Linked DNA regions of Drosophila melanogaster. The protein of the gene in region 2 interacts with the protein of the main gene of each other region in a pairwise test. Each region holds a gene or a part of one and is shown on either strand. Other genes may lie near its edges.

The links.
Region 1: the proteins of CG10147 (region 2) and CG3735 interact in a two-hybrid assay, tested with the Drosophila melanogaster proteins (one large-scale study listed by BioGRID).

What each region holds. Positions count from the first base shown.
Region 1 is NT_033778.4:23,936,516-23,941,990, forward strand, and holds CG3735 (uncharacterized protein), read right to left. Parts: upstream 3,240-5,475; 5' UTR 3,168-3,239; coding exon 2,906-3,167; intron 2,849-2,905; coding exon 2,144-2,848; intron 2,089-2,143; coding exon 953-2,088; 3' UTR 562-952; downstream 1-561. Other genes in the region: Taldo (transaldolase), read left to right, coding at 3,915-4,011, 4,542-4,665, 4,725-5,475.
Region 2 is NT_037436.4:6,485,629-6,490,543, forward strand, and holds CG10147 (uncharacterized protein), read right to left. Parts: upstream 2,797-4,915; 5' UTR 2,714-2,796; coding exon 2,228-2,713; intron 2,168-2,227; coding exon 1,307-2,167; 3' UTR 539-1,306; downstream 1-538. Other genes in the region: bulli, read left to right, coding at 3,133-3,240, 3,302-3,785, 3,842-4,234, 4,290-4,548, 4,611-4,915.

The DNA.
Region 1 (5,475 bases), on a different chromosome or scaffold from region 2:
AGCATCCACCAGTCGGCCTGCGAACCCCTAGTTCTTCGTTTGGCTTTTCTGCCTTTTTCCCCAATTTCAGCAGAGACTGGCAGCCGTCGACTATTTTTATTTATAGGCTTGTAATGCCCCTACGGACTCGGACTCTCAGATATTGGCAAGAGCGCTCTCCGCACACGTTTCTGCCGTATGATATCCGCCATCAGCCATCCGCCTTGTGCAGCAGCTATTACGACTTTTCACAGAGACCCCCATAAATATGCATTTGGCTACTATTTTACCTCTATATGTCTAGGCCAGAACTTTTATAAGCTACCTATGTGTATATTTAAAAATGTTGATAAATGACAATGCAGCCAGGAATTTTGATTTATTTTGGGACTGGCAAATCTGGGTTTGATGCGGTTGTCAACCGCTGGATATTGTCTATTTAGGAACTCGGTATATGGTAATGGTTCCAGATTCCAGCAATCTCAAGCAATCAAGCGAAGTGATCATTTAAAAACAAATACAAACTGCAAAATAATGTTTTTTAACACTTAATTGCCTTATAAATGATAACTTTTATTGCATAATGCTCTGGCCAATCTTCCTTTATAAAAAAGGGATATTAAAGTAAAAACAGGCAAAATATATTGAATTCAAATGCATTTTGAATCATTTCATCAATCGGCAAAACACTACTTATGCTGCCTCTTATTACACAACCATTTGCCAATTATTCATTTTTTCATAATTTCAAATTGCGTAATAACAAAGAGAAGACATCGCCACCCTTAACATCAGATCAATCACCTAGCCAGTTCCTCCTAAAATCTCTACGTCACGAAAGTATTTAGGTCCAAAAATAGAGCCACAACTGAAAGTTATCACATACATTACTATTTACTTGCGTTAACATTTAGTATATTCTAATTGACAACTAAATATGTACATATTTCAAAGTCAGCTCTCGTGTAAGCATTTACGTTTTGGTGGAGAAAAGGTAGGAATCCTTTTGACCAGAAGTCAATTTCGCAGCATTCTCACTGCCCACAATGTTACTCAAGCTTAGCAGATCGTACTTTGTGTACAGGATACTGACGGACATTTCGTCCCCAAATCCATCGCGCGGATTTTGATTTGTCTTCAGCATCAGATTGATGATCTCGGAATAGAAGTGCGGAAAGTTGGGCGGCTGGTACATGATCAAGTTCCGGATGCCCTTAATCCGCGTGCGCCGGAAGAAGTGCGCTCTTTCCGAGTACAACAGAACAGATGCCCCGCTGTGGAAGAATATATCTCTCGCCCGGGAAATCTTTTCTTTCTTGGTGTACTCATTTATCTGCACAAAACTGACCATTTCGGTCTTGAAATGGTTGCGTATCCGTACGTAGTCAAAGTAGCTGGGCACGTATAGCATACAGTGCGAGAAACCGGGCTTACTGAATTGGGGCATAATATTCTTGACGAAGTACTGGAACCGATCGTCGAAGGTCGTCTCCACACTGGAGCAATTGATTAGGCGGAAAACCTGATGTATTGGAGTCAGAACGTTCCGGATGTCTCCGTGCTCGACGAGGTTCGAGTCTCGCACCTTTCCCTGGTAGTTGTTGCACTTGCTGTTGAACACTGCCCGGAACTCGGGCAGCTCGTGGGACGAGAAGAACAGGGTTTGGCGGTAGAAACTTGACGCTCCACTCAGGCACCACGTTCGTACCCTCTGGCAATTCGTATCGGGCAGCTTCTGCGGCTGCAGGTGCAGGTGGTCCAGGGAGTGCAGCAGGTTCTCCCAGTTCTGCGCCAGGAACAATTCGGCTTGGTCGATTATCAGCAGTTCAATGGAGTTCAAAAAGTCAAAATCGCTCTCCTTGTCCGTAACCAGCATTCTCAGTCCCAAGGGAGACGCGATCAACATGTCCGATGCGTTCATATCGGAGAATAGGGACATGGTTTTCTTTGTAAAACGAATACCTAGTTTGAAGTTGTCATCCGTGTTGCCACTGAATGTTTGCTCATAATCCATTGGCTTTGGGTTGGTTTTGGGGAAGTAAATCGTATTCCCGGAGTAATCTCCCAGGAAGCGTTCATAGTTCGCGATCGAGGTTTTCCTGGCCTGATCTGTGAAGGACATTTAATGGTAATACAGGTTCTTTGCTATCAACGGGTGACTTACCATCTTGACTGCCAAAGAGTAGATCTCCGAGTATATTTACAATCCTTAGAGCCGATTCCCTGAAGGGCACTACAAAAACGACCTTCATCCGCTTAAGCCCTTGGTCCCTGAAGCTCTCTGGTATAGAGATTTCGTTGGGCGACATTTTTTGTGACTTGGCCAAAGCCGAAACCTTTTCGTTGTTGCGCAATATCAGTGATCTGACTTTCAGCATGTGGTTCAGGGCGTGCAGGCAGTATACATAGCGAATATCCTCGGCATTGCCATGAGTTCGATGGGGATAGTATATATCTTGGTAGTTATTGGCGATGTAGAAGAGCTGGGACTGCAGGGCAGTGAGTGGCAGTTTGGCGTTTGCACAAATGGACGCCTTCACCTCCAACTTTTGCAGATCTTCCGTGCTTGCAATGTCCTTGGGCTCGCTGCAGTCGGGCTCCTTGAAGTCCTCAGTCAGTCGTGGTATATCGAACCTTACATTCCCCAGAGCGGACCAGTTCCTCTTGATTGTTTTAACATCCTTTCTCGCAATCAAATCGTTGATATTATCCGTAGATAGCTCAAAATCGAAGCGTTTCGAAAACGAATTGTATATTTCCAAGTCGACACCTAACTGCTCGGAACGCTTTTCCTTTTTGGGTTTGATCTTCCTGGGCACGGGAATAACGTGATCCTCTTCCTTCTCTGCTTTTGAGCGTAGGATGTCACCTGGAAACGATATTCTTAGTTAGTCATGGGCACATTTTTGTCCATTGCAAGGGCTACTTGTGGGTATGTTATTAACACCAGTTATGAGCTTTTTATAGAACTCAGTCTCGTCCACATCATCCTGGATCTCCGGCAACAGCTCCGCCACGGGCTCATATTCCTGTTTCGGTGCTGTGGGCATTCGTTCCCTGCGGTGGGACTCCTCCATTTGCTTGCTCCTCTGGATGAAACTGTAGTTCTTCGAGAATCTCTCATTTCGCCGGGCGGGCGTTGGTTTCTTGTAGGGCTTCGCCCTGTTCTTCGAGTGTTTTTGTTTCATTTTAAACTGTTTGTTACCGAGTATCTTTCGCACACACGTGTGGATCAACAAACATCTGGATTGGTGAAGGAATCCGATACACAGACATATCGATAGCTCCTAGAGATGGCGTGTGGTGAATTTAAAGCCGGTAAAGCTAATTCATTTGAAATTTATAATCTAAGCCATGTTTTTTTAGGAAATCACATAAATTTGCTATGAAACCCCAGTAGGTGACCAACGATGAATTGATTTCTGGCATATAAATATCAAAAAATTGTCTAAGATATGACTTTTGAAGCGGTCAAATATGGTGATTTTCCGATTTGAAGTACTGGGCGAACTGAAATCTCAGTAGGTGACCAGCCTAGTCCAAGTAAAATCAATATCATTGCACTAGAAAAATCATCTAAAAAAAATGCATACTTTTAAAATTATCGTTAGTTTACGAAAATTTTCTTCCGACCCAAAATGTTCAGCGCTTTCTGTACAAGAACGAAAGTATGCACTTATTTATTCGTCCAATTACAAGTAGATGGTTATTTATATTTAACAAGCTATTCACCTAAGATTAGCTTGAATACCTTATCATCACAGTTAAAGATTAATGTTAGGGAGCTAGTTTAAGTCTGCTTAATTGTCAGGAATCCCCCTGATGGCCCCTTATATCGATTCCTAAACCCAAGTTGGGGCTGTTCAGTATTTTTCCAGAGCCGGGCGGTATAAATTGCCGCTCCAGTGGCGGTCTTATTGCATTGAAGTTGGGCAATGGGAAGTGATCGCACGTTAAAAAAGCAAAAGATGTCGGTATTACAGGAACTCAAGAAAATCACCACAATTGTGGCTGACACCGGCGACTTTGAAGGTAAGTACGCACGCAAGGTATTTTTCTTAACAAGATGAGTCCGATTTCAAAGCTAGCGTAAGTTTGCCTCAAAAGTGGGAATCCAGAAATGCAACTAAAGCGAAATGCGAGTCTGAGCTCGAACATCCATACATATATAGAGCATACATAGAATCCGAGTCCAAAGATACATAGGATACATGGATTTATCCAAAAGATAAACATTAACGACGGGCCATCGGATCCGTCGTGTCTGCCGCAGTGAAGATCAAATAAAAGTGAAAAGCAAATCCGAGCTGACTTTAGTTTGACCTTTGGTGCTTACGTGTGTTAGAAATGTGACCGCTATAGTAAAGTGTACTATAGAATGCCACCAGAGATAAGGTTTCGGAGCAGAGTGCCAAACCTGCTCAGACATTTGAAAAGTTCAAAGATATTTTCGGTCGGGCGATTGAAAAATGAAAGTCGCTCAACAGGTTTCGAGGTCTTTCTAAAATTCGCAATGTAATTTGGCCCCGCACTTATGCAAATACTTTACACATTGCTTCCAGCCATCAACATCTATAAGCCCACGGATGCCACCACTAATCCCTCCCTCATCTTGTCCGCTTCGTCCATGGAGCGGTACCAGCCGCTGGTCCAAAAGGCGGTGGAATACGCCAAGGGCAAGAAGGGGTAAGCAGTTCACTTGGGTGTTTGCCACACAAAGCTACATAGAATACCATCGTTTGCAGCTCCGTGAGTGAGCAGGTGGCCGAGGCCATGGACTACCTGTGCGTGCTGTTCGGAACGGAAATCCTGAAGGTTGTGCCCGGTCGCGTTTCCACCGAGATCGATGCCCGCTTGTCCTTCGACACCAAGAAGAGCGTGGAGAAGGCCCTGAAGCTGATCGCCCTGTACAAATCCCTGGGCGTCGACAAGGAGCGAATTCTGATCAAGCTGGCGTCCACCTGGGAGGGCATCAAGGCGGCCGAGATCCTGGAGAACGAGCACGGTGTGCACTGCAACCTGACGCTCCTTTTCTCGTTCGCACAGGCCGTGGCTTGCGCCGAGGCCGGCGTGACCCTCATCTCCCCGTTCGTGGGCCGCATCCTGGACTGGTACGTGGCCAACACGGATACCAAGAAGTTCGAGGCGCTCAAGGACCCGGGCGTGATCTCCGTGACGAACATCTACAACTACTACAAGAAGTTCGGCTACAAGACCCTGGTCATGGGCGCCTCCTTCCGTAACGTGGGCGAAATCAAGGCCCTGGCTGGCTGCGATCTGCTTACCATCAGCCCAGCGCTGCTTAAGGAGCTGGAGAACGAGACCGAGTCGGTGGTCACCTACCTGTCCGTAAGCAACGCCAAGCTGCAGGACATCGAGAAGATCACCGTCGATGAGAGCCGGTTCCGCTGGCTGCTCAACGAGGACGCCATGGCCACCGACAAACTTTCCGAGGGCATCAGGAAGTTCGCCGTGGATACTGTTAAGCTGGAGAAT
Region 2 (4,915 bases):
TATATATCTATAACAATAACTGAAGAATCATATTTACAACGATTTTAATGCAACAGATTTCACCATATTTACCGGGGGAAATGATCGTGGCACGTCATATCATTTACCACACCATTATACATATGTATGCAAAGCTATCTATATACTATACCATATACAATAAACAGACTCACGACCTTTAGCAGATGTACTTTAGTTTTTAGTGGTCCGCGGCAGGAAGCGAATCCTCTGCCGATTTATTTAGTAACACACACACACACACACACAATTCCTGTACATTATTGTTTTAGTTGAAAATATAATTAAACAATTATTGATATTTACATTCTGAATCCCAAAAGGAAATGGTTCTTTATTGGAGTATTTATTTGTCGATACAGTAAGTACAATAGTACTCTTAAAGTATATAATTTCATTTTTAACCGAGTAAAAGGTTTTAGTTCATAAAAAATAGGTAATAAGAAAACAATTTTATAAATTCAACAAACTTAAAGTTTAAGAAACAAACAGAACGAAACAAAAAACTATAACTACACTTCATAAAAGAATATGCACTTTACCCTTTACTTCCTGATTTGGATAACTTGGCATATTCTCAAACGTGAATAACTTAAACCAAAGTTTATTGCAAAACTCCCCGTATCCTTATACTTCCTGATTTATTGTCAGTATTCGAAGTTATTGTCGTTTACTTAAAGTGTAAGTTGCAAATGTGACTATAATACTAAACGTCTTTTACCCTAATCTTCCTGATATTTTCGTTGTTAAGGGTAAATTGACATACATAAATGGTAAGAAACTAAAAGTGCAGTTTCTTTAAAATAATTCACTTTACCCTACACTTCCTGATTAGTGTTATTAAGGGTTATTGTCTCCATTCATAATCTCTTCTTGTTTTGTTAACATTATTTGGGGTTATCGTCATATACTTGTACCTTCCACCTTCTGATTTATTGTCATTAACTTATACCCTACACCATAAGATTTATTGTCGTTATTGCGGGTTGTTGTCATATTAATTAGTTTCTTGATAAGATAGAAAAACTACAGCTTATTAATTAATGCCATTTACCCTAAACTTCCTGATTTGTTAACGTTATTAAGGGTAAAATGGCATGTATTTGTGCCATTAGAAACTAAGACTAGTTTATTAAAAATTGCCTCTTCCCTGCTCTTCTAATTCGTTATCGTAATAAATCCCTCAATAAAGGAGGTATGTAAATATTAATTAAGTTGTGAGTCAAGTAAAATACGATATGAATGTTGTACTTTCCACTGAACCTAAAATAGAAATATGTTAACTTCTTTAACCCATGCTAGTCAGTTGCAGCAGAGCACAAGCGGTCTGCTGATTATCCCCCGATTCGTGGACCTTGCGATGGGTGCGCAAGGCAGAGGGTTGTATAAATTTCTTGCCGCAAACGTGACACTCAAAGTTCTTTTCGCCAGTGTGGGTCATTTCGTGATATTTTCGCGTGTCGGTGGTGGCAAATTTCTTTTCGCAATAGCTGCAGGCATAATCTCGTGCCTTCTCGTGGATTGCGCGGATATGTTTCTTAAGACTCGTTGAGCTGTTGCAAACTTTGGGGCAATCCTTGCAGGACCAGGTCCTTTCCAGAGTATGATAGTTGATATGCAGTCGCAGTTCGTTTTTGGTCGTCTTCTTGAGACCACAGTAGGGGCAACTAAAGTTCTTTATGCCCTGGTGACGCATCATGTGGATCTTGAGTTTCTCCGTGCTATAGAATCGCATAGAACATTCCGGCAGTTCGCAGGCATATGGCAATACCAGCTGGTCACCGTGTGTGAACCGATGCTGGCTTAGGGCAGAGCCAGTCTTGAACACCCGACCACAGAACTCGCACATATGGGTCTTCAAAGGCTTGCCAATGTCGTGAGCCTTGCTTTGGTGGTATTTCAGCGAGGCCTTGTGCCGGTACATCCTGTTGCAGCCCTCCTCCTCGCAGACAAACCGCATGCCCACTTCCGAGTGCTCTAGCTCGTGCTGCCTGAGGTTCTCGAATCGGTTGAAAGCTTCCTCGCATCCGGGCTCAGTGCAATGATACAGCATGTGTCCCTGGTGTTCCTTCTTGTGCAGAATCAAGCGTTTCTCCTCTCGAAACTCGTCGGCGCACAAGTCGCACTTGTATGTGGTCAATGGCGGCTCCTGAAATCATTGAATACAACTTAACTTACACTCCTGTTTAAACCTTAAACCCAAACTCACTTCCAAAGCTTTCTTTTCCGTTTCCGGGGGTTGCTGGACATTTTCGGTGAAGGTATGGAATACCAAGGTTGGCGGTGCCTGTTCAGCGACTATTGGGGTATTTTGTGCACTCAAATTGGTATCACATATAATCATCTCCGGCGGCTCCAATAGAAGTTCTTCCAGCTCCAGCTCCTCTTCCTCATCTTCATCGACCTCGTAAACAGGTTTCCTGCGATCTATTTTCTTCCAAGTTACCAGACTTTTAGAACGCCACTTATTGTCGGCTATAATGCAAAGTGCTCGGAAGGAGTGGAACTTCTCCAGAAGCTCGTAGCACTCCGAGCAAATTTCGCTGGGCAAAATATCCTGGTCATCAGGATCCACCACCAAATTTGTGCACTCCGAAAATTTGACGGCGAGATATGGATGGTGCAGCAAATTGTAGGCCTCGTCGTCTCTAGCCACATCGCTGGAGCATACGCGGCATTTGTCCAGGTGTCCCATTAAGTGGTTGAATCAAAGTTATTGAGACCTTTTTTTAAATTCACAAGAAAAAATATTTTTCTGTGTCCTGTCTGCCGTTTTTTCTTATCGCTGTTGTTTGTATACTAAACAGCTGATAGGGCTGGCAAAAATACCGCTGATAGCAATAGTGATGGCAAATAATAGCGTGAGTTGGAAGGGGTTAAATAAATATAGTATAAATGTTTAAAAATATCTACTGTAAGCATACCACAAATAATGTTAAATACATTTATATTTTTAATCCTTGCACGTACAATAAATGAAATTAATCGTGACTTAAAACAGCTTGTTACTCGTGGCACATCTCTAGCACCCTGTGCTAAAGTCACATCTCTAATGGGGGGTGTATAAAAAGTTGTGCTGTTGCAGTTTGTTATTTATTTTTTTCCAGCACAACAATGGATAATTCCAATGGAATCCACTACATTGAGCTAACCCCAAATCCCATACGATTTGATGCTGTCAGCCAACTAACCAATGTGTTTTTCGATGACTCCAACAAGCAGGTATAGTTAAAACATGTTAAAAATCCATGTTGATGATGGCTAAAAATCTATATCTGTAAAGATATTTGCTGTTCGGTCTGGAGGAGCTACTGGTGTGGTGGTCAAAGGTCCTGGATCTCCCGACGATGTCGTCATCTCCTTTTGCATGAGCGACCGTGGCGGTGCCATAAGGTCCATTAAGTTCTCGCCGGACAACCAAATCTTGGCCGTTCAGCGAAAGGAGAATTCCGTGGAGTTCATATGTTTTCAGGGAGATCAGCCTCTGCTGCAGGACATCATTACCCACCAGGTGAAGACTCTGATCCATGGCTTTGTTTGGGTCCACAATCGAGAGGTGGCCCTGATTTCGAATACCGGCGTGGAGGTCTACACCGTAGTTCCTGAGAAGCGACAGGTGCGCTCTGTGAAATCCCTGAGCATTGGCATCAAGTGGTTCGCCTGGTGCTGCGATGCCAATGTGGCTCTACTGTGCACCAGCGAAGGAAACTCCCTGATTCCGGTGCTGGTCAAGCAGAAAGTAATCACCAAGCTGCCCAAAGTGGACTGTAAGTAATCCTTTTGGGTTAAAATCCTTTAAAAGCGTTTTAATCTTTCCTTTCAGTGGGCAATCCAAGTCGCGATGTCCAGGAGAGCAAGGTCACCTTAGGCCAAGTTTACGGCGTGCTGGCTGTGCTTATCCTCCAGTCAAATAGCACCACCGGACTGATGGAAGTCGAGGTGCACTTGCTCAATGGACCGGGCTTGGCTCCACGCAAGTGCCATGTGCTCCGCTTAAGTCTGCTTGGTCGCTTCGCCATCAACACGGTGGATAATCTGATTGTGGTGCACCATCAAGCTTCGGGCACTTCGCTGCTATTCGACATCTCCCTGCCCGGAGAGGTGATCAATGAAATAACCTATCATACACCCATAACTCCAGGGCGCTCCATCAAACCGTTTGGCCTGAAACTGCCCTCACTTTCGCCTGATGGACAAATCTTGCAGTGCGAGTTGTGTAAGTTCTTTAAATATCCAAAAAGTTACTTTATTTGACACTTATACCCATGCAGATTCCACGCACTGGGTACTGTTCCAGCCAAATATTGTAATCGATGCCAAGTTGGGTTGCATGTGGTTTTTGAACCTCTGCATTGAACCATTGTGCCAACTGATTTCGGATCGCATTCGACTTACAGAATTCCTGCTGCAACGCAGCAATGGCAAGCAGATGCTATTAAAAGTCATTGGACAATTGGTAGATGATCAGTATAAGGGAACTCTATTGCCAGTCCTAGAGACCATCTTCAGTCGGATTAACAAGATCTATGCGTAAGTTAAAGACGTTATTTTCATCAATATATATTTATTACATTATGCATGGTATACTTTAGGTCTTGGGTCCAGTTGGAGCTGCAAAATCAAACCGCTCAACCGTCGAACGTAAAAACTACTACCCTGAAACAGAGCACACCGCCCATTGTGCTCATTGAGCAACTGGATATGGTGCAAATCTTTCAGCGCATAGCTCGTCGCCCGTACACGGAATCCATATTGATGCTCTACCTGCAATCCCTGAACAAGTTCAACATTGCCGCCCAGGAGGAGCTGAGCAAGATGATCATCAGCGAGCTGATCTCCAATCGCAGCTTCGACACCTTGCGACGCTTGGTCAGCTATTCAATGCTGCTGGAATCCA